Astyanax mexicanus: one gene and its partner. The protein of the gene in region 2 interacts with the protein of the main gene of each other region in a biochemical or structural test. Links are inferred from orthologs where the notes say so. Each region holds a gene or a part of one and is shown on either strand. Other genes may lie near its edges. The genes, in order: tyrosine-protein kinase ZAP-70 and lcp2a.

Region 1 (16,939 bases), on a different chromosome or scaffold from region 2:
AGGGAAACATGGCGACACCTTTGTTCCTTACTAGTATCACTTAAAATGTGCTTTATAATCCGGTGCGCCTTGTGTATGAAAAAAGACCGCAAAAAATATACGTTTATTGATAGTGTGCATTATATTACAATGCACCTCATAGTCTTTTTATTTATAAATATATTTTTATTTTCTTCCAATTTAGCTAGGCCAATTGTTCCACCAATGATCTCCTTATCATAGTGGCAGTGCTTTAGACCACTGGACCACTCGAAGCCCAAATAATTGTATTTATCATATTCTTTGTCCTGTTAATAATAATAAATTCAGTTTCAAACAAAGGTTTTGGCCAGAAATTTTAGTTTGGCTCATCACTACTGAATTCTTTATGTAAAGTTAAATAAACATGTTGTCTTTACCAAAAAAAAAGTAAAAAAAAAAGTAAAAATTAATATGAAAAATAAACCTAAAGACTTGACTGATATAAGTTTAGTCAACAGATATATATTATTATTGTTATTATTATTTATTTATTTTTTTAATTCTAGCATGTCACACATAAACAATTTGTTTATTCAATAATCACTGTACTATTTTGCGTATTTACGACAATAGGGAGTCAATGCTGTAAACCTGGAGATAAATAATGTTTACTAAAACATTATGTTATGTCAGTTTAACTGCACATTAATTGTACTTTTCTTTGATGGCCAGATAAACAAATTTTTTATTTGTTTGTTTATTAGATGGAGAACAAAGCCAACAAAGCCTACAAAGATGAAATTGCTCAGAAAATGAGGCTTGTTCTTACAGCCTACAACACAGAAGCCACTCAGTTTATCATAATATATGATCTACAACTTTACCTGAAGTAGCTTAGGGGGAATCACTACACACTGATGGTGAGTGTCAGAAACTGGTGGACACACCCAGTATGCAAAGAGATTGTCCCTGAATAGAATAGAAAGAAAGATAATGTTTGACCAAACTCAAAATAGTTGGGTAAAATTTGGAAATGCAATTTTATTTTAAATAGATTGAATTTATTTGAGGTCAACAGCATATATTATGGGTTAACAGTGTATGCCTCCCAATACTTTTTTGTACATTTACTATTTATCTACACTTAGCTTCGCAAAATGCTGCATGCGATCATCCGTACGGGTCAGTGCGTTCATTCTCTGTATACGCAAAAAACACCCTCCGTTTAATCTGTGGGCCTAAAACTGCTTTCTGGAGTTTCCACTAAGGAAAAACACACAGGTTGCCGGTTTGCGTTCCGGACGTGTGTAAAGGAGCCGCAGACGTTTGGGTGCAAAGCGCGCTAATGAGGACACCCCCACACTGTGCTAACGCTAGGGCTAACGCTCAGGTTACACTGTGAAAACAAGCAGCCAAACCACACAATCAGCTATCAAAGCCTTACACAGGCGAGGCAATCAGAGACACTCAGCAGACTAAAAATAAGCAGAACACACCAGATCTCACTTTCAGACTGTACCACTCTCTATGTACAGGAGACTCTGAAGGGATTTTAGCCTTTTTTTTTTAAATAAAATTTAGTTCCAGAATTCACCATCTGTGCTCAGTTTGGGGATCACTATCACTCAAATCAGTCAGTTTCAGTGTGATCTGTCAATAAGACGTTTTTTTTTTATATATTTGTTATTTAAAACCAAACTTTTTTGAATTATGTTTTTTAATGCAGTGCTGTCTAAAAGATTACAGATTGGTGATTACAACCACCACCATGTTTAACAGATTAGGTGCTAAGCTTTTAATCTTATTTCTTTTAGATTTCTACAGAAACACTGAAAGTAGGTCTCCTGGAATTATTGGAAGCTCAAATTTTTTGACCTTGAAACAAAATATTTAATAGTGGTTTGCTTTAAATACATTAACAGGGTCCTAAAAATGTCTTAAATTAAAAGCTGGGTTATTAAGGTCTTAAATTGTCTTAAATTTACTGTAAATTTGCTGTAGGTATTACATTTTCAGACGGTCTGTTTAATACTGGTGGGAAAGCACATATTAACATTAGTGGCAAGTTACCTGCATTACCGGCGAGAGAACTAAGGTTAGCGGCGAGCTAGCTAATGTTACCGGAGAGAGAACTAAGGTTAGTGAGCTAGATAATGTAGGGTGACCAAACGTCCGTATTTCCCAGGACATGTCCGTATTTCACGTCCTGTCCTGGGCTTCCCAGGTTTTTTGCAAAAAGTGAGAAAATGTCCTGGTTTTTAAACCCCCCCCCGGTCAACACTCACAGTCAGAGCGCAAAGACTTTTCCACAGAACTAAAACTAATAACTTAAAACTTGTATTTTTGGTTTTCTGTTTAATGAGATCTGATTGAGATCTGGATTACTCTTCATTAGGCAGTCATTTGGTGACATTTTATTTTTTATTATTAATTTATTAGTACATTTATTATTAAAAGTTACAAGTAAAAGTAATATAAGGGGAACAATTAAAGCCATTAAGAACAAAATCTTAGGCCGAACCACAGAGTCCTATAGTGCACTACTACTGATTTATTTTTTTGAACGATAAGAAGCCGGAATAAAAAAACATGCTATTTTTAAAAAGTAAGAAGTCGAAAGTTTAGATAATTGTGTGTAAATGTATGGAGATAAAAAAATAAATAAATAAAATAATTACTCCAGTAAAGTATAGATAACCTGAATTTCTACTTTAGTAAGATAATAAAGTATTTGTACTTCATTACTTGTCACCTGTGTTTAAGGTAAAAGAGTAAAATATGAAATATATTACAATTTTTTTTAGGTGTTATCTTTAGGAGCCTACCACACTACAAAGGACCGATAATCTACATTTGAGGTACAGCCCAAAATTAGAAATGTTGGCACAGTATGAAAAATGCATATAAAAAAACGTAGTGTTTATTTATTCTTTTGCATATTTTTATGTTTTATCTGTTTTTAACTTGCTTTACTGTATTTCATGAAAGCAATCTATGTCAATAGGCCATTAGCGGTGCTGACCCCTGTCCTAAAGACAGCTATTCACGTTCTGACTGTTCATGTTCATGTTTGCAAAACAGTTTTGCTTGTTTTTGGACTTTACTGTTAGTACTGTGGGCAGTTGGAGTTGGGTCAGGTCTGGACTCCTGCCCGTTCCTTAGGGTCCACTGGTTCAGTCTGTGGTCGCTCAATATATTATTTCAGCGTTGTCGTGGCTCCAGACTAACTTTTTTACAGCTGTCCCAAACTGAAAAGTATCTGTCCTATTTTTTATTTATTTGTTTTTACATTACTGTTGAATATTTGTGTATTTCTCTATGACTGCCATAATGTTGTCAGTTGTTTGGACTTGATGCACTGTAAGTGTATTATTCTGTTAATAAGAGACCACTTACAAATTATGAGGTTCTTTAATTTTACCAAATTAAAACCTCTGGAATATAATCAAGAGGAAGATGGATGATCACAAGCCATCAAACCACCAAACTGAACTGCTTGAATTTTTGCACCAGGAGTAAAGCAGCATCAAGTTATCCAAAAGCAGTGTGTAAGACTGGTGGAGGAGAACATGATGCCAACATGCATTAAAACTGTGATTAAAAACCAAGATTTATCCAACAAATATTGATTTCTGAACTCTTAAAACTTTATTAATATGAACTTGTTTTCTTTGCATTATTTGAGGTCTGAAAGCTCTGCATCTTTTTTTTGTTATTTCTACCACTTCTCATTTTCTGCAAATAAATGCTTTAAATGACAATATTTTTATTTGGAATTTGGGAGAAATGTTGTGCGTAGTTTATAGAATAAAACAACAATGTTAATTTTACTCAAACATATACCTATAAAGAGCAAAATCAGATGAACTGATGATATGACGTCTCAAATAAATGAACAGATACGAGGCCAGAAATGTCCATTTTCCTGCAGCCTAATTAATCGCAACGTCATCAAGCTAACTTGACCCTGCCTGAGCTGAACATTCGTTATCTGTGATCTAGATTTTATTATTCTGTCTTTTTGCTCAATTTTAGCCATCATGTTTTAGCTATAGATAAAAAGCAACATGTCAGATCAGGCTGCAGACGTTTAACATCTGCTAACAAAGAGTCAAAGACAACATCAATCATCTGAACATCAGTTTTCGAGCTCTATAAATACAGTTTAATCTGCAGTTGTGATGTCGCAGCTGCTGTGTAGCGTAGAGTGGTGGAAAAGCTGATGTTTCATCTCTGCTTCAGCGTGCTCTCGCCTTTTATCAGCTGCTCCTTTTAGCTATAATGTTTTACAGCAACTTAAACACACATCTTTCTATTATAACTCAATGAAATCTTAAGAAAATGAACCAAATATAAATTTAAAAATGATTTTACAGTTGGATCTCAAGGCCAATCACGACACTGCAGTTACAGTGACTTCTGCACAAACCAAACACTTTAACTACTAACTATAGTTGGTTATTTTAAAAAGTTAATACTAAAAAAATAAACAGTAAGTTCATTTTAATACTTAACAGTTAAAAAAAGCAAAAAAAAAGATCAATAAATCCATAAAAACAGTCCGAGCTAAAATGCTAACTGCCTAAAAGAAACATAGATGTCTATTAACTTAAGAAGAGCAATTTATATAAACAATAAAGTTAAAGAGTTATAAAGAACAGCCAAAGCTAAAATGCTAACTGCTTAAAAGAATCATAAATGTCTATGAACTTATAAATACTATAGAATTATAAAGAACAGTTCAAGTTCAAATAGTAACCCTAGCACACAAAAACAATGGTTACTTTTAACACTAAAGAAAAGCTAATGTTAAAACAAACCTGAACAGTTCAAAAATTAATAATTAAAGTTAAATTAATGAGCTAGTTAATAAGAACAGCTAAATGTATAACTGCAGGGTTAATAAGAACAGTTTAAGTTAAACAGTTCACTTTTTTTTAAGTTAAAAGTCTGAGCCATTATAAGAAAAGTAAAAGTTGAGTTTGACTAGTTTAAAAGAAAAATTAAAAAAAGTTAAAACTGAACAGGTAAAAGAGGATTTATTCTTATGGAGTGAAGAACAGCCAAAGCTAATACTAAATACTAAATACTTATAAGAATAATAATAATAATGTTCATTAACTTAGGAAGGGCAATATAAACATATAAACAATACAATTAAAGAGTTAAATAAAGAACAGTTCAATTTAAACTTAAACAAATATAATTAACAGTAGCACATAAAAAAGAACGGACCAGGCTAAGATGCTAATTGCTTGTAAGAAACATTAATGTTAAGTGACTTAGGAAGAGAAATTTATGATATAATAAAAGAGTTATAAAGAACAGTTCAACGTAAAATTGAACAAGTTAAAAGAACGTTTTTTGTTAAAACTAACAAAGACTAAAGAGAACATGAATGGTTAAAAAAACAAACGTAATACTAAACAGTTAGGGATATCAATTTAAAATACATAATACTAAAGAGGTATGATTGAACTTTTAAAGATTTTTTTTTAACAGTTTAAATTCTAACTGAACTTTTAGGAAGAAATATTAATCAACTGTTAATCAACTTAAGAGTTAAGAAGAGCATAAGAAGAGATAGAACTGGAGAGCTATAAGGAACAGTTAAACAGTTAAAATGAAATATATTAATGTTAAAACTAAAGTCAAGAAGTGCAATTTAGGGAAAAATAAAATAATGAATTAGTTAGAATTGATACAGATGTTGTTTTTTTGATAATCTGTTATGATACTCTCTTCAATTATTTTGAGATTAAATATATAATATATATTGAGTATTCTTGATTCTTGATCCAAAGCAAACGGTAAATTATAATTTTTTTTAGTGACAACTTATAGACACAATTTATATAATGCCACTTATTTTACTTTTGCTACAATAAACTATAGACTCCAACGTGCAACAAAAGCCGAGAGCAGCCTTAGTGCTGCACCACTCCACCACAGGATACACACAATACCAGAACCACCACACACACACACACACACACACACACAACACACACAGCAGACAAAGCAACGTCTGAAAACCCAACTGAACCTGAAAACGGCTCAGAGTTGGAGGCCTTCAGTACTGCAGAAATGAAGGAAAGGCCTCCAGCTCTGAGCCGCCAGAATCCAGCACGTGTTGAACAACGTTATCAGCATTCTTGGACCAGTGCGGCGGTTCTCGGCCAGAACTTGCATCTGTCCATCAGTCCAAAAAGCTCTCGTCTAATCTGCCTCGCCTCACTTCCAGGCGTCTAGAGCAAGCCTGACTTTTCCATCAGTGGGGAAACCGGTCCAGAGGCAGATCAAGAACCGGAACACAGCCGGGCAGATTAAAAAAAAAAAGCCCAAACAAGACAACAAGCCAAGCGTTAAGGAACTCACCAAGACCTGGAGCGTCCAGAGAGACGATAGAGAGAAATTTAAAGGGCGAGAGACACTTAATGAGACTGAGAAACACTTTTTTAATTAATTAAACTAGGGTACGAGGGCGCTACGCTAACAAACGTCTTCACTCTGCTGAGGTGATGAAGCTTTGTGATCTTGGTTGATCTATGACATCTGCACTTGCTGGGCTCTGAGCTACTGCTTCAGTGTGTGTGTGTGTGTGTGTGTGTGTTAGTGCATGTGTGTGTGTGAGTGTGTGTGTGTGTGTGTGCAGGTGAACTCTGTGGGCTGATCTTCTCTCTCTCTTTTCTCCCACAGCCTTGCATTCCCTTTTGCAAGCTTCTCCGTTTCTCAGAAACAGCAATTTACTCCATCTTCACCTAAATCAGCTCAGCACGACTCTGTTAGCGCAGGGCTCCGCAGCATGTTTACAGTATGAAGCACTGGTATATTTCTCTCCATCGCAACTTAGCACAAGGGGTCCTCAGAGGCCACGGCCCGCTCAAAAATGTGTCATAATACAACACCTTATAAAAGATCCTTAGCCGTCAGTTTTTATGGCCGCGCGAGATTACCGTAGACTACACAGAACAGCCATTAAAACCAAAACACGCCGCGGCACTTCAAAGACAAATATGGCCGCAGATTAACAAGACATGGCTGTAAATATGACAGACGGTGGAAGTGCAGGTTCCCAGGACCTCAAACCAAGAACAACAACAAGAACATGCACACTGTATAGAGCCTAGACTCTTAAAAAGAAAGGTGCTGCAAAGGCGAAACAGTTCTGAGCTCTGAGAGTAAGATTTCTACGTGAGTAGGCCATGGAACGAAACACTAAGAAACTAGTCGGTCATCAGGGCTAAACAGCCATATGGACCACAGAACGTTTAGTGAGAGGGCTTAAAGAAAGAGCAATCTTCCTATTGGCTAGCCAGCATGCTAATGCTGTGTTTGAGATGTTGTATGAGCCCGATCACCAGCATTCTAATGCTACGTTTGTGATGTTAGATGAACCTGGCCATGTTGGAGATGTTAGATGAGCCTGGTTGCTAGCATGCTAATGTTGCGTTTGCAATGTTGGGTGAGCCCAGTCTCCAGCATGCTAATGTTGCGTTTACAATGTTGGGTGAGCCCAGTCTCCAGCATGCTAATGTTGCGTTTGCAATGTTGGGTGAGCCCAGTCTCCAGCATGCCAATGTTGCGTTTGCAATGTTGGGTGAGCCCAGTCTCCAGCATGACAATGTTGCGGTGTGGCTAAGTGTGGTACTCACCACTTAGTAGCTGGTGCTTACACTTACATGCCACTTACTATCTAGTGCACACTGCTTAAAATGTGGTGCTCACCACTTAGAAGCTGGTGCTCACTACTTAATATGTGGTGCTAATTACTTTTTTACGTAAAAACAACATCATGTCTCTTCAGGGGCTCCATATGAGTGTCTGATTTTATTTTTATTTGTTTGTGTTTTCAGAGTATGTGGTGCTCACCGCTTACTATCTAGTGCTCACCCCTTTTTTATTTACTAAAATAAAAACACACATTGTCCCTTCAGGGGCTCTGTAGAAAAGTGTCAGATTTAAGGCTTTTTAACTCTTTTTAACTTTTTTAAGTGTGTGTTTTTTAAGTGTATTGTTGGCATAACTCAGTTGACTCAACTCTGTTTAAGGTCCTAACTGCACGTGAGGAGTTGTGAGCGTGTGCAGCTGTCCAATAAGAGGAGGAGGGGGCGGGGTTTTGAGGAAAACGGGTGGAAAATAAAACTAACCCCGCCCACCGCAGGCGGAGCTCCTCCCTGCGCTCAGCCCCGGCTCCTGCTGCTGTCTGCCCGGCTACACGGAGCAGCTTCTCCCCGACAGAGCAGAGAGGAGGACATATACAAAACATATAAAAACATATATAAACCATATATTAACCATATATAACCCAGAAACTGCAGAACACAAACCCTGCACTGATCCTCTCAGCATGAAGCCGTGAAGAAGGAGGACCTGGACCAGCTTCAGATACTCCAGAACCCTGCTGCCACTGCCTGAACTGAGGTATTAACTCATAACTCTTATAACTTCATTATAAAGCGTTATTAACTTACACACAGTGCTTGTATACATGCGTGTAGTGGTCTTTGTATTGCTGTGGGGAACTGGAGACTGTAGTTAGAGTGTGTTGACCACTGGTTGCAGCAGTTTCCAGTGTTGAGTCTGAATTAACTCTGTATAAAGTTAATTAAAACACTGGAACAGTTCATTCAACACTGTAACGTTAAAGGTTAATGGAACCATTTCCCATGCCTAAATTAAGCCACAATTCAGATATAAAATACTGTTAAATTGGGTTGTCACTGGTTGGGAACATTAGTCCAAGACTACAGTGTATTTCCAGGTAATTCTTGGAAAGACTGAAAGTGTTAACAGATCCATGCTGTAGATCCCTGCACTCTCTGAAAGTTGTATTCTGGAATGGAACCAGCTGCTTGAGTTTGGGACCACTGGTTAGAGCAGTTTTCAGTATCTACACAGCAGAATGACCAGTGTTGAGTCTGAATTAACTCTATATAGGGTTAATTAAACACTGTAACAGTTAATTCAACATTGTAAAAGTTAATGAAACCATTTCTCATGCCTAAATTAAGCCACAATTCAGATATAATATACTGTTAAATTGGGGTTGCCATTATTTGGGAACATTAGTCCAAGACTACTGTGTATTTTCAGGTAATTCTTGAAAAGACTGAAAGTGTTAACAGGTCCCTGCTGTAGATCCTTGTACTCTCTGAGAGTTTTACCACTGGTTAAAGCTGTTAACAATGTCTGTACTGCAGAATAACCAGTGTTTAACCTGAATAAACTCTATATAAAGTGTTAATTAGACACTACAACTGTTCATTCAGCACTGTAAAAGTTGGTTAAACCATTTCCCATTGTTTGTGCACTGTAGTCACTGTAGTCACATGCCTAAATTAAACCTCAATAATTTGTGCACATTAGTCTGAGATACAGTAGGTTTAATTCTTGCTTGGTTAAGTGGTTTTAAGAAGGTTTTTCATTCAAATTTAGACTTAAAAGACTTTTCAATGGGTTTGTCATTAGTTATGCACATTATTAAGATACATAGAGTTAATTAAACGCTGTAACAGTTCATTCAACATTGTAAAGGTTAACGAAACCATTCCCAAAGCATAAACTAGGCTTAATCCAGACAAAAAATACTGTTTAATGGGTTCCCCATTGGTTGGTCACATTAGTCCAAGAGAAAGAAGGGTTTTTAATTTAAATTTAGACTTTTCAATGGGTTTGCCATTAGTTGTGCACATTAGTTCGAGAATGGAAAGAGTAAAAATGTTAACACATCAATGCTGTAGATCCCTGCACTGTCTAAAAGTTGTATTTTGGAGTTAGAACCAAATCTATTGATGGAACCAACTGTTTGAGTTTGTGACCACTGCTTAGAACAGTTTACAGAATCTACACTGCAGAATGACCAGTGTTAAGTCTGAATTAACTGTATATAGAGTTAATTAAACACTACAACTGTTCATTCAACACCTTAAAAGTTAACTAAACCATTTCACACTAGTTACATTAGTGAATATTAGTCTGATGTACAGTAGGTTTAATTCTTGTTTGGTTAACTGGCTTTATAAGAAGAGTTTTCGTTAAAATTTTAGATTTTAAACACTTTTCAGTTGGTTTAACCATCATTTGTACACATTAGTTCAAGCCTATTCTCAGTTTTTGTCTGGCTAAATGGCTCTGCGGGAAGTTTTTAACAAGTTTTTAACGTTTTAACAATGGTGTTTTTTAAAGAGATGCATTCACCACAGTTTGAGTGGTCAAGTGGAAACTGTGAAAGTATTAATAGATCCCTGCAGATCACTGCTGATCACCAAAGCAGATCTGAATGTGAATGAGAAGTACAGGGCTGTAGTAATATAGAGCGGCTAATAGAACGTTTGAGAGCTATTTGTCTCTTTATATAACCCATTATATGGCTGCATTAGAGAGCTAATTGGGTTTGAGACCACCAGTGAGATAAAAAATGACCAGTGTTAAATCTGAATTAACTTTGTAATGGCTACGTAATCACTATTAACAGTTTATTTAGCACAATAATGGTTAATCAAAGTTTGGTTTTGGATCCCCAGATACAGATTTACTATATGTCTAATTGTTTGTGGACACTACTTCTAATCAATGCATTCAGCTACTTTAAGTGGCACTGATTACTGCCAATAGAATAGGACTCTCTGGAGCTGATAATCAATTGATCTATTGGCTCCAAGCCTAATACCAGATATGGGCTTTAGGAGTACAAAGCCAACTTTGCATTGAGTTTTGGAGCATTGGGAGTGTTTTCTCTGGAATGGTGTTTTGGATGGTGCTCCATTCTTTAATACCCTTGATTTCAGAAGAAATAATGAATGGTCTCTCTTATCTCTTTTTTTCTCTCCCTTTCTCTATATCTTTTTCTCTCTCTTTCTCTTTCTCTTTCTCTATATCTTGGTCTGGTAGTCACATGGCTGGATATGTCTGATCAGTCAGACTGAACGGTTTCATTGAAGCTCAGTTAAAGAGATAAAAAAAAAATCCGATGAATTTTAGTGTGAAGGGAGTGCTGCTGCCCATGTACGATCACGATCACTCCTCACACACTTCACTCCTCACACACTCCACTCTGCCGTGTGCTGACTGATCGCTGGCTGAGTGAGTCCATTAGATGTTGCATCACCAGCCGTTTAGCTGAGCTTGCATCCGCACCCGCTGACTCTCACTATCTGAGACTCTGCATTCTCTCACAGGGGTCTGGTTTATATGGGGCAACTGGTGTCTGGTCACGGCTACTGTAGTTCACCTCATCTGCTCCTGGCTTTGCTTTCACATAGACATCTAGTTAACAGACATCTAGTTACATCATGAACATAACTAGAGGCCTCCACTTGCCAAAATGACAAAGACACATCATGTGGATGGAGTTCGCTGTTCTTTAAAACTGTCCATCATGTAGATGCTGTTGAGTGCTGCACTGCTAATGGGCAGGTATTAGGCCCAATCCCATTTCCCCCCTTGGCCCTACCACTTACCCTTACCCCTTCTTTTTGAGTATAACAGAGACACAAGGGGAAGAGGTGAAATCCTCATATACTTCTTTGCTTCCCTGGTGCATAGAACCATCCTGGCACCACCCTTTGTCCGTCAACCCCCACCACAGCCCCACGCACAATTTCATGAATTTTGCACAGCAGGATTAGCCAGCAGACATCTTCTGATAGAGGGATCTGTAGGATTAGTCAGCAGATAAGGGAGATGGAAGTACTCTTGAATAATACGTTTTGTGCTTCTACCTCAGTTGAACCAGCATAAACCAGACTATTCATGTTTTCCAATTAGCACAAGCTAACACTAATGTGTGGTAAATGCTCAGCAAATACATGGTGTGTCCAGCCACAGCTTATTTGCATAAAAGTGCATTCTGAAAGATAATGGTGAGCTGGTGGGATTTCGTTATGTGAGAGTGATTTTGCGTAAAGAACTTCATGCACATGTTTTGTTTAGCCCATAGACCACTTCTAAATTATGTAAAAGATTTAGAATATGTACCGTTTAACACACTTAAACAGGAAAACTAACTACAGGTGAAACAATACCCTTAATCTAACAAATTGCACCAACAGAGTAATTGAACTAGTGTTTTTTTTGCAATTGAACCAAAGCTAAAAAGTATAAACACACTCTTTTAGATCTTCTCACTGAGGTACGTGAGGTTGCGGAGGCCAGTGATTTCTGGCTCTTCTCCATCAAATGCCTTTTTCCCATTGCTGGCACATTACTGGCCAGATATTCTGTCCAAATAGGGATATGAAGGCAGATATGCATGGAAAAGCCCAGAAGTGTCCAGATCTGTCTGGTTTCTTGTGTTTGTACTGTTTGATTGTACAGCACAGATTTTGTAGTCCTAACATGAACCCTGTCTGCCTGAGACAGCCTCAGGACGGTGGAGACGTCCAAGACTTTTAGAATATGTTGTGGAAACCAACCCAAATACTTCTAGGACTCAAAATAGACACAATACCCCCAAACTATTAGACTGCAGTTTCTGTTAGAGCATCAAATCGTTGCTCTTTCTGTTCCAATGAACAAGTAATGAGACAAGTAATGTGGATGGACAAAAGTATTGGGACACCTGTGTATTCCTTGTTTCTTTAGAAATCTAGAGTATTAAAAAGATTGTATCTTTCTTTTGTTGGATAAACTATGCCTACTGTCCAGGCAGGACTGTCTACTAGATTTTGGAACCTTGCTCTGAGGATTTGATTGCATTAGTGAGGTCACCACCTTGCCTGGCATTAGCATTATGCCAATAGGTGCATGTTTAGGTTTAATAGAGAGTCCATTAGACTATTAGTACTTTTACTTTTTGAGATGCTTGATCAATGAGGCCCAGGACTTTAGAGAGCAGATCATTGAATGATGATGAGAACAACCCAGTGACACATCTTAAAAAACAAGATTTTATTTGGGACTGTTTTGCTGCATGTATCCCTGCAGCATTAATGGGTTTTTAAAACTATATATTAAAAAAAAACTTTCTCATATCTCTAATGAAACAGTTTGAAAAGTTTTGCTCCTTTAAAGAGATGTCTTTGTTAACGAGATGCTTCAGCATGAAGCACATTTTTGTAATGCTTAAAGCGACAGTCTGAGAGTTTTTGGTGAAAGTGTGGGTAAATGATTCTGATCGTTTTAGTGAAGAAAAGACAGAAAAATGTGGTTTTGCAGGAATTTTAAATGTTTAATTTTCAATTAAAAACTGTAAAAAATCTTCAGGACTGCTGCTTTAAAGAACATGACGGTTCTTATCCCTTGTGTGGTGTTCGGGTCTGTGGGACTCGTTTTCATTTTTCATCAAACTCATTGGCATTGGCTCATTTTTTGTGAAAAACATATATCAAAACACATTTTCGATAAACACACACTGTAAACCCCCCCCCCCCCCCCCCCTACACATTTATATTACATACAGTATGTTTGGCCAAGAGCTAATAAACATTGCTTCATTGGCAAATTTGAAACTAATCTAATTTTCTACTCATATCTTGAGTTTAATTCATTTTTTTTTACATTTTATTAAAAAACTAATAAAAAAAAGAGAAGCACTTTTTGAAAGAAATGTGACATAAGAAAGGTAAAGGGCAAACATTAACCATGTAAGCTGTTTATATTGCTAGCAATTTAGGTGAAGCGAGCATGTGTAAAGCATTTTAATGTAAAATTGCTTAATTTTGCTGAATTAAATACAAGTAACAAAGTAAACGAGTAACAAAAATATGAACACCACACAAATTGGTTAAATTGGTGAAAAAAAATGTATAAGTTCTATACTGGGTTTGTATTAGGGGTGTGCCATATCGTATCATACTTAAAGTTATCAACAGATATTTTGACATGATAAAAAAAATATTTATAATATTTAATATATTACTTACATTCTTGAAAGCAAGTCCCTTTTTCTATTTTGTTACACTATTATTTTTTCTTTAATATCAGAGTCATGGTAAGTTACGAACATTTATATGTTTATTGAATGCACAAAAATGCATAAAATCAAGAATGTGGTCATCGCAAGAATACCCTAAAATATTGTGATATTATTTTAGGAGCATATCTCCCACCCACAGTTCTTATATTATGTGAAGGTTCTTTATACTTTCAACTTCAAACATGGTTCTTCTTCAACTGGTTCTTTGATGGTTCCGTGGTGGTACTATGATGGTTCTTTTATAGCATTGCTTGAAGAACCTTTTGTGGAACTGTTCTTTTTAAGAGTGTAGTGAAGAGAAAATGTGACTGAAGATTTTCAGAAAAAGAGAGAGAGAGAGAAAGAAGAGAGAGAGAGAGATTTGGGGAGAGGAAAGGAAAGCAAGAAAGAGAAATAGAGAGAGAGAGAGAGAATGAAAAGCAGGGTTTCTGCTCTCCAGAGACGTCCAGTACGTGCAGCAGGGTCTTATGGGTTTGATTAGTGAAGTCTGCTGGTGCCTGATACCCCTCGGCCTCCACACACACACACACACACACTCACACACCTTCTCCTGCTTCACATTATACACAAGAACACGACTAGACTACGGGTCTATTGGACCCTCAGTCAGATACAGTTACGCAGTAACACCACGCCAGCCATCCAGACCTCCAGAACCGTCCACACTTCCCAGATTCCTCTCATTCTTAAACCCGTCCTTAACTGGTTTGGTGGTTTGGCCCAAAACTCTAATCTACACAGTTTTCCCTCCCTTACCCACAATGCAGTCAATCGGCCAAGACGTGTTTGCTGTCCAAAGTTTGGTTCTGTAGTTTTGCACTGGAGCTCACATGTTTAAGCCATTACATCCAAATGTTTGTGGACGTCCATTCTAATGAATTCATTCGGCTTCTTAAATCCACAAACACAGCTTGTCAGTCTTGTCACTGTATTGCTTGCTAAGTATTGCCAAGAGACAAGAGCTCTAGTGAACTGATAAACATTGGCACCATGCCTAATGTCATGCATGGGCGAGAGGGTACTAAGTCTTAACATTGAGCTTTTGGGTTGAGTTGTTGACTTGCATGGTTGGATGCATGGTGGTGATCATCCAACATCTTGACCTCACTAATTTGTAACTTTTGTCTCTGAATGCAATCAAATCCTCACAGCAATGCTCTAGAATCTAATGTAAAGCCTTAACCTTGGATTGAACATGAACCGCTGGGCAACACTTTGTCTTCCCTCTTCTCGTCTTCAGCTGTATCCACCTGATTTTCAATGACGACAACTGGATTACAACTAGAGACTGACCAATCACTCTTTTTGGGGGCTGATTGCTATCCTCTTTTATATCGATCAACCAACTGGGTGAGGCTGGATGCCACAACTGAAAGTGCAGTGATGTTCCTGCATCATCTCTCAAGATGAAATGTACTTTATTTTTTATAATCAACCAAAATATCCAGCACAAAAAAATTTATTTTTATGAACACAAGTCCATCCTTTAGCTTTCCAACTGCTGCTGCTGAAGTGTATCGTTAGAGCTGTTACCTCTGCTGTGTTGCTGTGCTAATAACTACTCAATGTATGGGCTGAAAGAAGCACTCTGAAGAGGGGTATCCAGTTAGTGGGGTTCATAATCATTATTTAGCTCACCCTATGTGGCATGTTTGTCTTACGTAAAGGTGAATGGATGACTTTCTGAATAGCATGAGTAGTCTGTAGACAAGAGAGTGAACAAGTGACTTTAAAACCTCTTGTATTATAGCAGAGCCAGCAGCTGTGCTCCGAGCTCACAAAGGAGAGGACAGGGGGGTCCGATTAGAGGGGCTTTTGTTTGCAGAGAGCGAGATGAGAGAGTTCTTTAATGAAAACCACTGGAGATCTGACTGTGAGTCTAATAACCACACGATAAAACCAGTCTCTAAGAAGAAGTAATAGCAGGAAAAGCCTCTGGGGTTTGGAGAGAAGGAGAGAGCCGCGTAAAGCAGAGGAGAACAGATGAGAGGGAGAAAGGGATGAGAGGGAGGAATAGGAGGAGAAGGAGGAGATGATAGTAGAGTGGAAAACACTGAAGAAGTGAAACGAATAGGAGAAAGAGAGGAAAGGTATGGTTAAAGATGAGACGAATCGAGAAAATAACTAGAGAAGGAAAAGAGAAGAAGAGAAAAAAATTAGATTAATAGACAGTAGAGAGTAAAAAGAAAGGTAAGGACAATAAGAGAGTAGAATAAAAGAGAAAAGATGAAAGGGTATGAGAAGTGAAGGGAAGAGGTTGGAAGCAAAGGTTGGAAAAGAGAAGGTGTATGGAGAACAATTAAGAAGACGGATGAAGAGAACAAAGAAAAATATGAGAAGAGACGAGTGACAGCAAGCAGAGGAAAGAGTAGAAATAAGAGTAGTAAAGAAGAAAAGAGGGGATGAGAAGAGAAGATTGAAGACAAGAAGAGAAAATAAATAAGAATAGTAAAGAAGATAACAGAGGAAGAGAGTAGAGAAAAGAAATAAGAGTACGAGAGAAAGAAGAGAAGAAAGGGAAAGAAAGGAGAGGAGAGGAGATAAAATGAGAGGAGAAAAGAATAGATGAGAATAGAAGAAACAGAAGTAGTAAAGAAGAGAAGAGAGAGAGAGAATGAGAGGAGAGGAGAAGAAATAAGAGTAGTGAAGAAGAGAAGAGGGAGAATAAGAAGAAAAGAGAGAATGACAGGATAATAGAATAGAGGAGAAGAGAAGATATAAAAGTAGTGAAGAAGAGAAGAGAGAGAATGAGAGGAGAAGAGAATAGAGGAGAGGAGAAGAAATAAGAGTAGTGAAGAAAAGAAGAGAGGGAATAAGAAGAAAAGAGAGAATGAGAGGAGAATAGAATAGAGGAGAAGAGAAGAAATAAAAGTAGCAAAGAAGAGAAGAGAAAGAATGAAATGAGAACAGAATAGAGGAGAGGAGAAGAAATAAGAGTAGTAAAGAAGAGAAGGAAAAATGAGAGGAGAATATAAGAGAAGAAGAAGAAGAAAGTAGAGTAAAATAGAAAAAATAAGAGTAATAAAGAAGAGAAGATAAGGACTGAGAAGAGAAGAGCGA
Region 2 (16,783 bases):
GGAAACCAGATTAAGATTAAATCCCAAAGTGTTCTACACTCAGCAACAACACACAGAAGTAAGTAAGTCTACTGGACCTTGACTCCAAAGGGCTATGAAGTGCAGTTTCAATCCGTGCTGTCATGCTGACTCTGCCACCTAGTATGCCGCATAGTTTGAAAGACCTTTAAATCAGCATCAGGTGGATAAGGGGCGGGGCTACACAATTAACCCACGTGTTACGTAGCCGGTCAAATTGACCCCTTTTAAAGTAAAGTTAAAAAAAAAAAAAAATACAGGCACAAGCACGGTGTTTGGATCATATACAATATTGACTAGAGCCCACAAAAGGAAAAATAAATTAAAGTAAACACTTTTTTTTTTCATCAAAATAGAGGCACAATATAGTTGTACTAAAAAAGTTAATTATAATAAATTAACCATATTTTACTTGAAAACCAAAATTCCAAATTTGATTACACTAAATATTGTTCACATTAAATAGGTAATATGTTAAAAGCCAATGTTTCTTGGAAAAACGCACTGGCTCAATCTGGGTTAATATTACTAACATAACAGTATTAAAGACAGCATAGCCAGCAGAAGCTCTGAAAATTAATATCTGTTAATGTTTAACTTAATATACACATGAAGGATTATACATATTATACATATCATCAAGTAGTCGTCTGTACTAATTGTAATAATTGATCACAAACAAATGTTGTTGTATTCACGTTTTGTTTTTCTAAACAATATTTTATCCAATTATGTATTCCACTTACATTGTTTTATCATGCTATTGTGAAGTCAAAAGAAACTGCTCCTTTAAGTAGCAGTGTTTAGTAGTATCTTGTATTCCCATTATAATAACCTGAACTGAATTTGTATTGGTGCATTTTTTTGTAAGGATGTTGTTTATTTTAAATAGATAAACGGTGCACAAAATAGTAACACATATCCATAACTTAAATGGAAATCGTATTTGATAATTACTGACATATTTAAAGAATATAATTTTTTGAAATGACAATATTGAAAATAGGCATGTTTATTTGTATGTTTGTTCACATATATAGCATTGAACTGTATTTAAGGCTCCATACACACAGTGTGGACTGCAGTAGGTGAAGAAAAAAATAATTTATTTCCCAAACTATTATTAATTGCAATCATAGTCTTACAAGGCTATAAAAGTGTTGCTTTTATCCTTTATCACAATCATTTCTTGGATGGTATATTGTCCACAAAAAATGTCAATGCCTATGAAAAAAACTAACATTTTTTTTACATTTTATTTTATGTTGTATATATTGTGTTCTTTTTGCATACTAATTGGAAACATGCAGCCACGTTTTTCATTCTCCTGTACATCTGTACTTATTTGATTTGTATGTTCTTTCTGAATGGGTGGGTGTTTGCCTGTTACTTGTTTATAGTATTCTTATTTATTTTATTGTATTTATTTATTTTACCTTTTTCAGCAAACCGTGTGTGAGAAGTTGTGTAGATTGAAATAAATGAGACAAATTAACACAGAACTCACCTTCACTTTAATCACACAGTTCCCACAGAGCTTTTATTTTGCCTTGTTGTTTTTCTCCAGACAGGAAGAAGATCTCGTTGGTCAGCAACATGGCGTCAGGCAGTGGGGTGAGTTATATTGTTTTTTTTTTTTTATTAGTTATATTAATGTCTGCAAGGTTATATCTGTTTTAATGTATTCAGTAAATGCTGTAATTGATAGACTGTAACATAGCCGGCTGAATAAACTATAAACTACAACGTTACCGTGCTAAAACACGCTCCTGTGGCCATTAGCTTAGGTAGCTAGCTAGCTAAGCTAACTAAACATTTGTCAGTGTTCAGTGAAAATTTAATGATTTATCCAACAACAGTTATAGATCTGTAATGCTGTTAAAGGAGCTGCTGACAATAACTGAATATCTAAACCATATATGTTGTAGGCGTTATATAGCTGGCATGTTAGACAACAGGTTATTGTCACGGTGTTTTATTGTTTATGGATACCCAGCTAGCCGTGGCTACCCTAACTAATTAGCGAATAATCTCCAAATCTCTTTTTTTTTTTGTAGTCTAAGAACGATTTTAGGCGCAAGTGGGACAAAGATGAGTATGAACAGCTGGCACAGAAGCGTCTCACGGAGGAAAGAGAGAAAAAAGATGGTGAGTACATTCATATAGTTTATATAGTGCACTACTGTACTGTACTATATTCACACTTTCACTGCCTATTGTTTGGAAATCCTGATATGACATGGTATATATATATATATATATATATATATATATATATATATATATATATATATATATATATATATACCATATTTTCTTTACATAAAAAATGGTGAGCACTAGGAAGTATGTTCACTGGTCTGTGCATGGCTTCACAGACTGCTACATTGCGCTGTGCTGTGTTACTTGGTGTGTGGTGAGCACTAGATACTAAGTGGTAAGCACCAGATAGTATGTTCACTGGTCTGTACAGGTCTGCACATTGCGCTTTGCTGTTCCACTTAGCCACTTTACCAAAAGTGGGGACGATAAAAAAGTGTCTACCTTCTATCGTCTCTATCGTTTCTACAGTAATTTCATCAATTATTCATGCAAATATATAAAGTAGGCTACGATGAAATGTATTAGCGTGGTCACTTTGCATAAACTCTGTTTATATAAGTGATAAAGTAATCTTCACAAAAAAGCTTCATAATGTGGTTTTGTGACACAACGCTGCTTTACGTTATTTGACGGAAATGCACAGACACCGGTTTGCGACATGCTTTACGTTTTTAAACTCATGAGAGCTGAACAATGGAGACGCATTGTTCTTTTTAAAGAATTAGCTACTGCATCTACCTCATCTGTTTTCATTCGATACATATATATTGCTGCAATAAAAGGTAGGAATTCTCGTTTGTGAAAGTTTGTTTTAATGTCACTTTGAAATAAAGTTTTTTCGAAGAATAACTGAAAACATACTTAAATGTAGTATATCATAATATATATCGTTATTGTGATATAAAAAAATTCATATTGTGATAATGATTTTTCCCATATCGCCCAGCACTACTTGTACAGTTACTTACATTGTTCTCTCACTGGACTTGCTGTTTTTATTCTGGAATGCCAATTACGCATACTTCATATGTGTAGACACTAACCCTACTTGCCACCTTGTTTATCTCATATCTTATAATGTACCTTATAAAACCAAAGAGATGCTGTGTTTTAGCTAGCCCACAGGTTTCTAAATAAAATATTAAAATTAAATTGAAATCCTCTCTGTTTAACCTTAGAACCTGTCTAGTTTACTTTGCAGTAGTGATGGCAAAAGTGGGTCTTTTGGGAGTTTGAATGAAATTAACCGATTGATTCGGGGAAAAAAAGATTCAGCCTTGTGAGTCCTGGGGGATAAATATGCCAGTAGAAGATTCATCACTACTTAAATATGCCTTTCCTAACTGTAAATTTCATTACAGAGAGTGTAAAAAATCCTTTAAATTATGTTATGTGCAGCAACAATTATAATAATTAATGTAGGTCTAAAGTAATTTTCTATGTATTAAGGAGTATTTGAGTAGAATTTTTTAAGAATTTACCACTCCTGGTGCTTTTTACCCATGAGTCAATACATGATGAATACTGTATATCATAGGATTGTCTTTCAATACAGATATAACAATTTGCCATGTCACCCAGGTCTCTCAGTGCATGATTATGTACACCAACGCTGGTGGCTTTTATACTGTTCATATCAATATCGTAATTATATCATACCAAAATTAAGAATTTTGCTCTTGTTTTATTGTATTAAATCTGATGCACAGATTTATAATTATATAAATAATTATTTGCCAGTATTGTTATGATTCTGTTATTGTGCATCACAAAACTCTATGAACGTTTTTTTACAGGCAAACCTATGCCACCAGTCAAGCGGGAGCTCCTCAGGCACAGAGACTACAAGGTTGATCTGGAGTCTAAACTGGGGAAGACAATTGTCATCACTAAAACTACACCTCAGGCTGAGATGGGCGGGTGAGTATCTAATGCAATTCCCGCGATTCCAACTGAATGTGAATAAGACTACTTTTAAAGAATTTGCATTAAACATCCAGAATCAGTCAATTTTTACTAAGAGAGAAAAAATGGAAAGTGCTGGCCTTTATTCCTTAGGAAGAATAAGGTAAATTTGGTAACATTTAACTATATTGCATAAACAGAACTGTCCCAAATCGACAATTTAAACAATAATTCTACATTATATATGACATGGTGAGGGACTGTCAGGAGATGCTGCTGCTGCTGATGTTGCCATTATATCTTTATTTTTTGTTCATTTTGTAGAATTTAGTTTTCTGGAAGCAAATATATTTTAAACAGAAATATTTGGTCTTATTGGTGTTTTCATACTTTTTTATGTAGATACTACTGCAATGTTTGCGATTGTGTTGTGAAAGATTCCATCAACTTTTTGGATCATATCAATGGCAAGAAACGTGAGTTTCTTTTTATTTCTTTGATTTGCTGTTTCAGAAAAATGTAAAAATAAAAATTGTATATATTATATAAAAACATTTTTCTCACTTTGTCTCACTAATATAGACCAGAGAAACCTTGGAATGTCGATGCGAGTGGAACGGTCCTCATTGGATCAGGTTAAAAAACGCTTTGAAGTAAATAAGAAAAAAATGGAGGAAAAACAGAAGGAGTATGATTTTGAGGAAAGATTGAAGGAATTACGAGAAGAGGTACAGAATTTGATTTATAAACATGTTTTGCTTTGCCTACAATAAATGTATTTTGTACATTTGGTTAATATTTTGATTTATTTATTCAGGAGGAAAAAGCAAAGGCATATAAAAAAGAGAAGCTAAAAGAAAAGAAGAGAAAAGCAGAGGAAGACCTGAATTTTGAAGAGGATGATGAAATGGCTGCTGTAATGGGATTCTCAGGGTTTGGGTCCTCCAAGAAGAGCCACTGATTCCCACCTTATACATATCCTTGCTTAAGCCTTTACAGTTCTTACAGAGTGGAGAACTATTCAACTATCAACAGACTGGAAGAACCCTTCCTTGACTGGACTACATTGGGTTTTTTTTATGTCAACTATCACAAATTCCATGAGCAAAGACGAAAACAACAATTAATCAAAATGTTTTCCACCTGTTACTTGTTTTATTACAGATTCATATTTGGAATTAAAATACGGGTGGAGCAGTTTGAGTTGAATGTTGTTAGTTTGATGCTTGTTGTAAATATGATTTTTTTTAAATTCCTCTCACTTGTCCAATTTATTCTGTAGATTTTGAAATATAAGGAAGGGTAAAGGAATGTGGTGTTACAAAAATTAGTGTTTTCATTGACACAAACTTGTCTTTCAGATCTGCAAGAGATGATTGAGGGTGTAGTTGCATCAGAAATACCCAAGCATAGAATAAAGGCAAGTTTTGTGTCAGGGCTGTATTGTGTTTTTTTTTGTTGTTTTTTTTATCCAACTCAAACATGTTCTTGCAAATAAACTGTATTATATTATTTTAAAAGAAATGTGCTTTAATTAAATTTTAAACAGCCTTGTTTCATTTAATTAACATTTCACACAAGCATTTACATTTTCAGGGCCTTTTTATAAATAGTAGTGACTGTCCATCCACGAAAATAGTTTAACTGTTAAAGATCTGCAGTATATTAACGTTATTTTTTTTTTTATGCCAAGAATATACCAATAAGAAAAAAGAAGCTTGTCAGAGCCGAAATGAGCCATCAGTCAGGCCAAGACACATTCTACAACCAAAACACCTCTGAGTACAATCTAAACACCAGTAATAATTGCAGTGCAACAAACAAATGAGCATATTCTGTCATTTGTTTACCAAACTTAAGTGTAATTTGATAAATTCTTATCTGGATTTAATCAAGATACTAAGCACATTAAGAGGTTTCAACAGGTCATACAGTTCAATTGTTTTAGCTATTGCTATTTTTATAGCTATTTTAGCATTGCAGTTTCATTCCAGAACTTAAGATGTCTAAACAAACCTCTCTTAATGATCTTTCTCAGAACTGTTCATTTCATTGTGGCTCTAAAACTATTAAATTTAATTAAATTACATTTACCTAATATAAATTAGCTTTGGCTGAGTGGTTAAGGAGTTATTGTTGATCACTTATTCAGTGACAGGCTGGAATTTTTACCTGCAGTAACAAGCCAACACTGATAAGTAATACACTTTAATAAATGTTTTGACTATTTATCATAGTTATATGACTAATGAAAAATTATATTTTTCCAGCTTAATCACTTTTTATTTTCATTATATAGTTGCATGCATTTTTCCACCCCATCATGACAGGATGGAGAGGTTATGGTTTAATTAAGCTAATAAAAAAATAAAACTCATATTATTAATTGTTGAACGTGCAGCAGGAGTCTTCAGTCCCTTAAAAACGGAAACAGTACAACCGTACTTTCTTAAAGTGGTGTGGTTGTTCCAAGATGACAGGGCATTGTTGAAAATGTTTAAATGCTTGATTTTCTTTTTACAAAAAAAGCTGTTTTCATTATTTAAATGTCTAAATTATTAAAAATCTTAATGAGTTATTCAACTTAATCAGGCAGCACTGTGGACATGGCAAAACCTCACCCCACATTAAATAAATCTGTATAAAATGTTTAAAATTTAACTTTAAAGTAAAAATTAACATTTTAGGGGACTTGTAATGTGTTAATTCAGAGTAAATCAGATGAAAACACTGTAATGCTTTCTTAATGATGATTTTTTTTTTATCATAACACTCTTATCACCATGTGATGGCGCTATTGTTTACCTATATGGTTCTGAAGACAACTGGTAAACCACAGGACTGTGCTTATTTAGATACAATTCATTCAGTGCCCTTAAGTTAAATTCCTGATCTGAACACATGAATCTAAACCCAGCATTTCTTTTGAAACTATAAAAGACACTGTAAGCAACTGTAACTGTAAACAACTGTATGACTCTGACAGTTGACCTTTTCTTTCTGATCTAGTTTAAGTACACCCACCTACAATACCAGTATACATTCAGCATCGACTGGAGTTCACAGGAAGTGGAAATTGTTATAGCGAATGACATAGAAAGTTAAAAGTTTTTGGGACGTGCAAATTTCAGATTGCATTGCTGGGAATAAACATAAATAAAGCCAAATAGTGAGACACTTCAAGTGTCATAAGTTTCCACTAGCAATCGTGGGGCCTGGGGGAAAAAAAAATGAAAGCTCAGACTTTCCAAGTGTGGGTGCTTTTTGGTTTGGCCTACTTTGATTACCACCTGACTTACTTACTTTTTAATGAGCTAATAATAGCTGTGGTTTTGTATAGACACCAACTACCTGCTCAAAAAAAAAACAACACTTGAATGCTCTAATACAGTGTGTCCAAATGTTTGTAGACACCCCTTCTACAGGGTTCGTGCGGGTGCTTGAAATCCTGGAAAATGCTTGGATTTTAACAGTCTGTTTTCCAGGCCTGGAAAGTGTTGAAATTTTAGAGAAAGTGCTTGAAAATGCTTGAAATTCTGACTACATTTACTATACAATAAATAATTATCTGACTAAATAAGTTTGCTTAAAGAAAAAATTGCAGAACGTAAAAGGAAAAAGGCTTTAATTTCTTCTCCTTCTGATATTACCAAACAATTCTGTTTGCATTTACGTAAACATAATACACTGCATCTCTTGCAGTGTGACAAAAAGCAAATCAATAATTTTGAGTATATGTATGTATAAATGGTCTCAACTCATCCCAGAATTTGATATACTACAGTAACTGCTCAATCAAATGAAAAGGGTAACATGCGGTGAAAAACATTGATAGTTACATTGTGTAAAACTGCCATTAATAAATCCATAATTTTTGCTATTTACTTACCTAGAACTATTTTTTTCCTCAGTGGCATAGTGTGGAGAATAGATTTGCTTTTGCAATGTATTGATTATCGCTGAATCACAGTGTTGAGATATCACCGTCATCATTAATTTACCACAGCTGAAAGGTGCAGGAAAAACTTGAAAATGGGCCTTGAAAGTTCTTAAAAAGTGCTTTAATTTTAGCTTGTAAAAGGTGTTTAAACTCTGCTTCTAGTAAAATGAATTCAGCTGCACCCATTGTTGACACTGTGGTGCAAATGCGTGCACACAGCTTGTCCAGTCCCTGTAGCCTATAGACAATACAATAGTACTCTGTGGAGCCGGTACACATTAACCTATTTGTATCATGCCTTATGTCAGAAAGGAGTATAAAAGTCTCACATGCATTGCCCTGTTGAGTGGTGGAATTGTGTTCTCTGTAATAATAATGCTCCATTCATACATTGATTAGTGGAGGAGGTTTTGGTGATCATCCAAGCCTCCTGTCCTCTGTAGTGTTTGTGTTGCTGAATGCTCTAAAATCTAGTAGAAAGCCTTCCCAGTAGAGTAGACAGTTTCTCCAATAAAAGCAGCAAAGGCTTTAAAAGTACTGACATTCATTACTCAAGTAGAAGTATAGATATTGGGGTTTAAAAATACTTCTGTAGAAGCTGAAGTATCAACTTAAGCTTTAAAGTGTAAAAGTATACAAGTTAATGTAAGGGAACAAAATGCTAAAATAAGGGGGGGAAATAAGGATAAAAGCTTAGACCATGCCACAGGATCCTACAGTGCAATAAAATAGGTGTGAAAAAAATACTCTAGTAAAGTATAGATAACCAACATTTCTACTTAAGTAAGCTAAGCAAGTATTTATATTTGTTGTATTTACTTGACACATTTAAAAAAGTATCCCTGTTGTTATTATTATTATTATTATTAAAACAGGACAATAAAATCTATTTTGCTAAGAACAAATGAAATGTGATGTATGAGAGCAGAGTCTATATTTATCTGCAGTTATTTAAAATTGATATTTAGATGTTTAATTCAATAGAATGGCTTGTTCTAAATATAACAAAGTAAAGCCACATTTTAGGCATGCTGCACCAAATCAGAAAAAAAATAAAGGTATGATTACAAGGACGTTTTGCAGGATATGGCAATAAACCGTCCGCTAATTGCTAAGCTAGCCTACTGTTTAAGCTACCAAATAAAGCATTTAAACCTTATCTCTTTTTACACTTTAATAATAAATAATTCTTACATTAATAGTTAAAAAACTATTTTTGCTATCACTAGTTTTTCTGTGCTACAACCAGCCAGTTATTACAAAACAAATTAAAAAAACAATTAATGGACTGGCTAGCTACATTTTTCATTAGCATCTTTAGTTAGCATCGCATGAAAATCTGTTTTACAACATGAAAATGTTTAAGAACCTTAATAAGTTTATCTATTTTAAAGTAATATGTTTAGCTAGCCATCACAGTTTGTAGTGTTGTAATTGAGAGGTGCTTGTCAGCTCCCCTAGCCAGAATATAACCCATTTATTATATCTGACAGTGATGTATGATGTATTATTAGAGCTAACATAGCTAGATAAATGTAGGCTACAGGAAGAGGCCAACTTAATGGTTTGAATGGTTTTCTTTTTTATAAAACATGTCTTATTTGTGTGAAATGGTGCAAATACATCTGTTGGATGGGAACTACATTTGCTTCCACTTTCTGCCCACACCTACACACAACCACAAGCAATGGCTGATTGCTTTATAATGGCTGGTCATATGAAGTTGTTTCACTCCAGTAAAGGGTTGCCTGGCAGTTTATTTAGGATTTATGATTAAAAGGCATATATTTGGGCATTTCTATTTATTAGGATATTTATAGCATTTATAGAAAAGAAAATAGACTCAATTCTATCACAAATCTCTAAGATTCATAGCCGTGGGTGGGCTATATGTGGCATCAGACCCCTGCTAAAGTAGCGCTCAGCAACTCAATTGGTGCATGAAGGTCAATATATGTAAGCTTGCTGTAGGTCATGTGGTTAATTGCTTGGTACTGGGCAATACTTAATAAATAATAAAAATGAAAGATGTATACATACTTGCATCCTTTATTAAGTTGAAATTTGTACTGTACAAATAGACATCTAGATGAAATAGTGTGGGTATGCAAACTAAACAGTGAACTGTTCATTTCTTTTTCTCATAAGGGGCTGTACTTCCCCTATTTACCGCGGTGATCAACAGGAAACCTACAGGGAAGTGCTGTCATTCTTTCTTTTCTCAGTGAGCTCAGACAAATCCTGGGTGTTGTTCGCTTTTTAAATATTTACAAATGTAACATAGATGAATTTAGACTATCTTTAAATTGCTTCCTATGTGAACGTACAGGAACATTTTCTCAGCTTCAAACATTTTGGACTTCTTTTTCTTTTCTTTTTTCATGCTGAGCGTTCTGTCAAGAAGACTTACCTTTTTGTGCCGGATTTACGTCTAGAACCTTGCTTGTGGGTGTTTTTCTCCACCCCAAAGTCAGACAGTGTGCTGTTCTTGGTTGCATCGTGGCATGTCAGAGCTAAACATCCTTTCAGCTTCTCAGGAGTCGTGCCTGGCGTGATGAGTACTTGGAGATAAAAAAAAAAGATTTTTTTTTTCATTTTATTTTTGTAGGGTTTTATTTTCATTTAATTTTAGACAGTGGCAAACTTGGAACCATGAGTTTCAACAATATTCCTTCCAAAATGGAGGTCATGAACTGGGATCCTGCTCATTTAGCTGACTTTCTAAGGAGGGTAAGTTAGTTTGTTACTGTTTTAATATGTTTTTTCTATCTTTAAGACCAATTTAAAACTTTAGTACTGACAGTTTTAATATTTGGTTGTTGTTTTTATTGGTGTTGAGTTTGATTTTAATTTTAAACACCTTTAAGTTTAAAGGAGAAGAACTTAATTCAGCAGCGAGGCCTACTGGTTCACATAGGGTAGAAGACATGGTCTAGACATGGTTGCTTTACACATGCAGATTTCACACATTCACATACTGAACATTTCCTCATTAAGCCTGCTTATGTTATGTCACACTTTCTTTGCAGAGTACTGAAAGCGTGATATTTTTCAATGTGTTTAAACTATGTTTTTCCTCTGCGTTACTGAGTGATGTGTTTTTGTCATTTTCATCTACAGCGGGAGCTGACAGGCTGTGATAAAGTAATTATGAAATGCAATATGAATGGACAGAGATTTCTGGTATGTATCTCATTCACTTTCTGAAGACCTTTTTAATTGTATCCATTACTTTTTTCTGTTGGTGTTATGAAAAAAACATGTTAATATATTTAATATTTTCAAAATAAGCCATGTGCATGTTTACGTACCTTTACAAACCTAAATTTAACAATGGATTCAATCACCTGCCGTAAAACTGTCAAATATTTTTTTATATATATATATTTGTTATATTTATATTTTTCTTGATATAAGAAGCATTATCTATAGACAAAATTCCCCTTCACACAGATATGAGTCATTGTTCTATGGCTGCTGCATGTTGTCATGGATTAAGGAAGTGCCATTATTAGAGGTGTCTTTTACATGTTAATATAAAGCTTGATCTGAATGATGATGCGAGAAATACATATATATTATTAAAAAGATTAGAATTATATATACAGCTATGTATTTGGTATCAGCTATGTATTTATGTATCAGTAATAATTATGTCTTGAACACCACTTATATTAGAAAACACAAATGAACAATACTGAATACTGCTTATATGTGCAAATACACTAAAATACCCCCTCCCTCGCAAACGCACACAAATACATATGCATATATGGCTCTGGAAAAAATAAGAGACCACTTCAGCTTCTGAAAAGTCTCTGATTTTGCTATTAATTGGTGTACGTTTGAGTAAAATTAACATTGTTGTTTTATTCTATAAACTATGCATTTCTCCCAAATTCCAAATAAAATATTGGCAGAAAATGAGAAATGGGTGAAATAACAAAAAAGATGCAGAGCTTAAATAATCCAAAGAAAACAAGTTCATATTCAAAAATATGAACATTTTTTCATATTCAGAAATTGAATAAGCCTGTTTTTAATCACAGTTTGCATGCATCTTGACATGTTCTGCTCCACCAGTCTTACACACTGCTTTTGTATAACTTTATGTCACTTCTGGTGCAAAAATTCAGGCAGTTCAGCTTGGTTTGATGGCTTGTAATAATCAAAGAAACTCATAATTTTTAGGTGCTCTCTTATTTTTTCTCTTATGTGTTGTTACTAGCAAAATGTATAATGGATTAAAATTGTATGGCTTTGGCTTACAAGTGACAGTATTAGACATCAGAGACTTATATTTATATGAGATCTTAACGTCGGCAGTAACAGTGTATTTGCTAGCAACACTATATTATAACATTAAATCAGATTTTTATCCACAAAATTATTTAAATACACAATAGAGGGGTGTTGTTTTTGTGTATTGATACATAGATAAGGAGAGTACATAATCTAAAACAAGTTATAAACGTGACTTACAGTGGCAAAACAACATTTAGGAGCCTAATATTTTATTTATAATAATTAGTAGACAAATAATATGTCTTCAGTTTCTGTAGTAACTATTTCTGTAATAGTTACTTATTTATACTTATTTATACTTATTTAATTATTTGTTCTAATGTTTTTTTTTTATGTTTTATGAATTTTATTTGCTTTCAAGTGTATTGTATGCTTGAAATAATAAAAAATCTTTCCTTTCTTTGTGTTTACAGAACATGACAGAAAACGACCTTCAGAAATTTCCTAATCTTTACTCCCCGTGAGTATCCTGCTTCTTTTTAGTTCAGTTTGAGATTTTAGTGCGGTTGTTAAACTTTGTTGAATTTCCTTTTTTATCTATAGTTACGTTTGTTTGTTTTGCATGGGTTGCATTTCCTTTCTAAGCTTTCCATCAAAATGTTGTGACCTTGTAATTGTAGGTGGTCCACGCTGCAGTATGAAGTGTTAACCCTCTTATTATGTGTTTCGGTGCATGCACTCACATTAAGAGGAAGCACTGCTGAAGAAAGATAGTGCAACACATGCAGATGTGGCAGGAACCATTGCACAGCAGAATCATGTGTTACTTCAGTAGTATTTCAGGGAGATGAAATGGCTGAATGTGCAGCATGTTAAGGAACTGAAAATGATTCTGAGAGATAAAGTATCAGAGACTAGACAAAACAGTGGTCATTTTGAAGAGAGTGTCATTAAAAATCACAGTGTATACATGTTTACCTTTAGAACAGTTTTAAGGTACATGGAGGAAAACGATCTATTTTGGTTACCACATCCTGCCGAGCCCTCAGCTCATGCGCCCACCAGTTCCAACTCACAAGACCTGCACATATCGTTCTTATAGTGAGCCGATAGTACACACATGAAGTAAAAAGTCAAAGAATTCAGTTCATTTCACAGGGTAATAATCTGTAATTCTGGGTTTAATAGTGGTAACCAAATATTATGTTTCCTGTGTATCATTTGTATTTCTTTTCTTTCACTTTTGTAGAATTATCTCCAAAATCTGTCGAGAAATCAACAAGAAAGAGGAGAAGAGAAGTATTTTCCCCAAAAGGCAAACACTTTAAAACTCGTTCATAAGTAATCCATGCTTCCTTACTTCAACTTTTAACTTTTTGTTAATAATTATGACTTTTGTTCTATACTTTATATAGGAATCCTGCACCAAAGTTCCAAGAAACAGGTACTGATGATAAGTGTATTTTAATCAGTTACTGTTCTTCATATAACACCTTTAGCCTGTGATAACAAATAGTACTTGAAAAGGCACAGTGGATTGACATTTGTGTAGAATAGAAATAGCTCTTATTAATATTTAGGGCCCTATCTGAATGATCTATAGGCGAGCCGATGACGGCGCGGACTGATTTAGAACATGTACTAATTCTCCTAATTAGTCATGGGTTTGTTTTGTACATAACATGAAATAAGCCAATCAGCTTATCACTTGTCATTCACTTTAAGAGCCAGGTGTGCTCTGACCTTGATAGATTGCTATTTTAACTGTGCAGCGCTTCTACACTTCTGAGTAGAGTACACTGAGCTGGGCATTCATGCTGTGAGGGTGTTAGAGCAGATCATTTACTGATACAGAAATGTTAATTTTTAGTAAATTTAGTATTATGTTTATTGTGGATGCAAAAGTTGGTTTAGTGCGTCCTTGTGTTTGTGTAACTAGCGGGATGTACATGTGGCGCTCCTGCGTAGCTAAGATAGCATATTAGCATATTAACAAGGTCAGAGTGTAAGGGTTCGATCAAAAAGGGTGACTAGCAACAACTAGCACTGTGCAAACTGCCTGCTTATATCATCACACACTTCGTATAAAACAAGCTTGTGAAGTTTCTGATGCACAAATTGACACAAAATTGAAAAAAGGAAGTTAGCTAGCCAGATAAAGTAGCTAATGTTGCAGCCAAGTGTGTATTGATAAAGGTGTGAAGACCAAATCATCCTAAGCTGGTGAATATACCATTCTATATTTATTAGCCTCATAGTTTCAGAGCAAATCTAAGACTCCAGGCATGTAGCCTTTTATGGTAAGAGAAAAAGTGTGCATCACAGTTTTTAGTTTTTGGCTGATAATTTGCTTCCCGCTGAATTATCCAACAGCAGTAGATGAATGTGCAGATGTCTGCAGTTATGCTCTGATGAGTAGGCAGGATGTCCGTATCTGATATCGTAGTGGGGGTTAGGTTTAAAAATCACATCACATAATTCATTTTTCTTATTCTTATTTTTTCTGTTTCTCTTTACAGTGGAAGTTGGTCATGATGAACAGGGTTGGGATTCCGAAGAGTTTGTAAATTTCATTTCTAAATCTCTCTTTTGAACAATTTTTATCTGCATGTTTGTTTGTTTGGTTGTTTTAAAGCATGCTTTTGTTTTTCTACATTTCATGCGTTGATGTTGCTGTAAAGGAAAGTGATGACTACGAGAGCCCGGATTCGCACGATGAAGGGGGAGGCAGTGGAGATTATGAGTCAGCAACTGAAGCAGGTGGGGAGAGCGACAATGATTATGAGCCACCCCCAAGTGAACCCTCTGATGACCTGCAGCATCCCCACATCCGTCCATCAAAACCCATTGGCAACAGCGAGTACATTGGTAAAGAGCAGCTTTAAGAGTTGAAACAATAAGTAACTTGAAGTTGTGCATTAGAGTAATTTTACCTCAGTAAAGGCCATTGTTATACAGAACATGAAGTGCAGTGTGTAAAGCACAGTCAACTTTGTTAAATTAAGGTAATGGTGCAGCATGAAGGGGATGATAGTGTTTTAAATATGGAAACAGGATTAAAAAAATGATAGGTGTATTTAATACTTTTAGATCTATTTTACAGTCTATTTACTGTGCATCTAATAATTCACTATTATTAATAATAATAATAATCACACTAAATACTTCTTCAGCTTGTTCTTTTTAGTTTATCCACAAAAGGATGTTTTTACACATCAATAAATGCTTGTATGCATATTGAGTAAGTATTTTTTAATCAAGGCTTTGAAGGTGGCTTTGCTCTATTTTATAATACATTTATAATACATTATAATACATTTTACTTCTTCCGTTTTAGAGAATCCAGAAGAACTCAGTCCCTTTGCTTCTATTTACTGGTACTGTGTTTTTTGTTTGCTGTGTATGCAGACCGACCTGGTACTTCAGTAAAAAGCCAGCCACCAGTTCCTCCTGCACGTCCCGGACCCGGTCCTCCACTCCCAACCACAGGACGCCCCAGTGTAAGTCCTCCTCAGTTCTCAGAATTGCCTCCACTTCATTTCCCTTCCTTTCCTTTTTCACTTCTTTAATTTGTATCCAGACAATGAATGAATTCTTATACTTGTAGATTCCTGGTGGGTTCAAGAGGACAGATCACTCACCTCAGAGACCTCAAAAACCACCACGTAAGTAAAACACTCATTTCTGGTTTGTAGAGTACATTTCTGGGAGGGCTGGGTGATATTAAAAATAATAATATTAAAAATATTATATTAAAAATAATAATATTTAAATGAGTACCACAATACAACATAAAAAAAACGTTTATTGCTATTTATTGCTGCTGTGTGAAAATTGCCTTATTTTTAAATAGTACATTTCTAATGTTGTATGTGTACATAAAACATTTGCACTCTTTGTGCTATTTTGTAAGGAAAAGGTTGTTTTTACATGTATTAATGGATTGACTATGTATCTGATGAGGTCTATATTAAAAACCCCACTTCAAAACTAGTAGCTAATTTTTCACTTAGAAAATATTTAAATTAAAAACACAAGCAAATGCTCATTATCAGGTCTGGTCATCTGGTTCTTGGTTTAAGACAGTTCTCTTTTAGAATTACCAAATTGCATATTCATTATTATGTCTTTATTTAAGTATTTGTGAAAGCCCTATCTAATTATTTTAATTCATCCATTATTTTTTCATTCATTCTTTTTTTATTTCCAGCTCCTGATCGCAGTAAAAAGCCAAGTACTCTGGAAAGAGGCTCTAACCTTATGCCAGTTCAAGGTAGTATGCTTCACTATACACTGTTTTTAAGGAACTTGTGTCCTAATGCACTTCCTTTTAATAATACAATACATTGTACAGTATTTACATGGGCTTATGGAGGGGGTATTGTTTTAGACTGTAACATAACACCTTTATTTAAGCAGAACATTGTGCTTTAAAGGTAAAATTTCACATTTATGATTATAAAGAAAAGTGTATTGGATTTACTTGATTCAGGTAACCTTAGTTCAAAACAAGAAAATTGTTACATCAACACAAATTAAGCTATGTATTACTACTATACCCACAGATAGTAA

What was found.
Region 1: of the proteins of lcp2a (region 2) and tyrosine-protein kinase ZAP-70, one has a biochemical effect on the other in vitro, tested with the Homo sapiens proteins (2 studies listed by BioGRID). The link is inferred for Astyanax mexicanus from reciprocal best matches to the Homo sapiens genes LCP2 and ZAP70.

Annotation. Positions count from the first base shown.
Region 1 is NC_064419.1:5,983,646-6,000,584, reverse strand, and holds the start of tyrosine-protein kinase ZAP-70, read right to left. Parts: upstream 6,536-16,939; 5' UTR 6,340-6,535; intron 1-6,339. UniProt on the Homo sapiens protein: Tyrosine kinase that plays an essential role in regulation of the adaptive immune response. Regulates motility, adhesion and cytokine expression of mature T-cells, as well as thymocyte development.
Region 2 is NC_064424.1:10,746,781-10,763,563, reverse strand, and holds the start of lcp2a (lymphocyte cytosolic protein 2a), read left to right. Parts: upstream 1-10,124; 5' UTR 10,125-10,618; coding exon 10,619-10,696; intron 10,697-11,086; coding exon 11,087-11,149; intron 11,150-12,684; coding exon 12,685-12,731; intron 12,732-13,460; coding exon 13,461-13,526; intron 13,527-13,626; coding exon 13,627-13,655; intron 13,656-14,730; coding exon 14,731-14,774; intron 14,775-14,892; coding exon 14,893-15,079; intron 15,080-15,619; coding exon 15,620-15,711; intron 15,712-15,818; coding exon 15,819-15,876; intron 15,877-16,421; coding exon 16,422-16,484; intron 16,485-16,783. Other genes in the region: slbp2 (stem-loop binding protein 2), read right to left, coding at 78-124; zmat2 (zinc finger matrin-type protein 2), read left to right, coding at 1,615-1,632, 2,076-2,166, 3,918-4,041, 4,429-4,502, 4,609-4,754, 4,844-4,987. UniProt on the Homo sapiens protein: Adapter protein primarily involved in signaling pathways within T-cells, as well as other immune cells such as platelets, mast cells, and natural killer (NK) cells.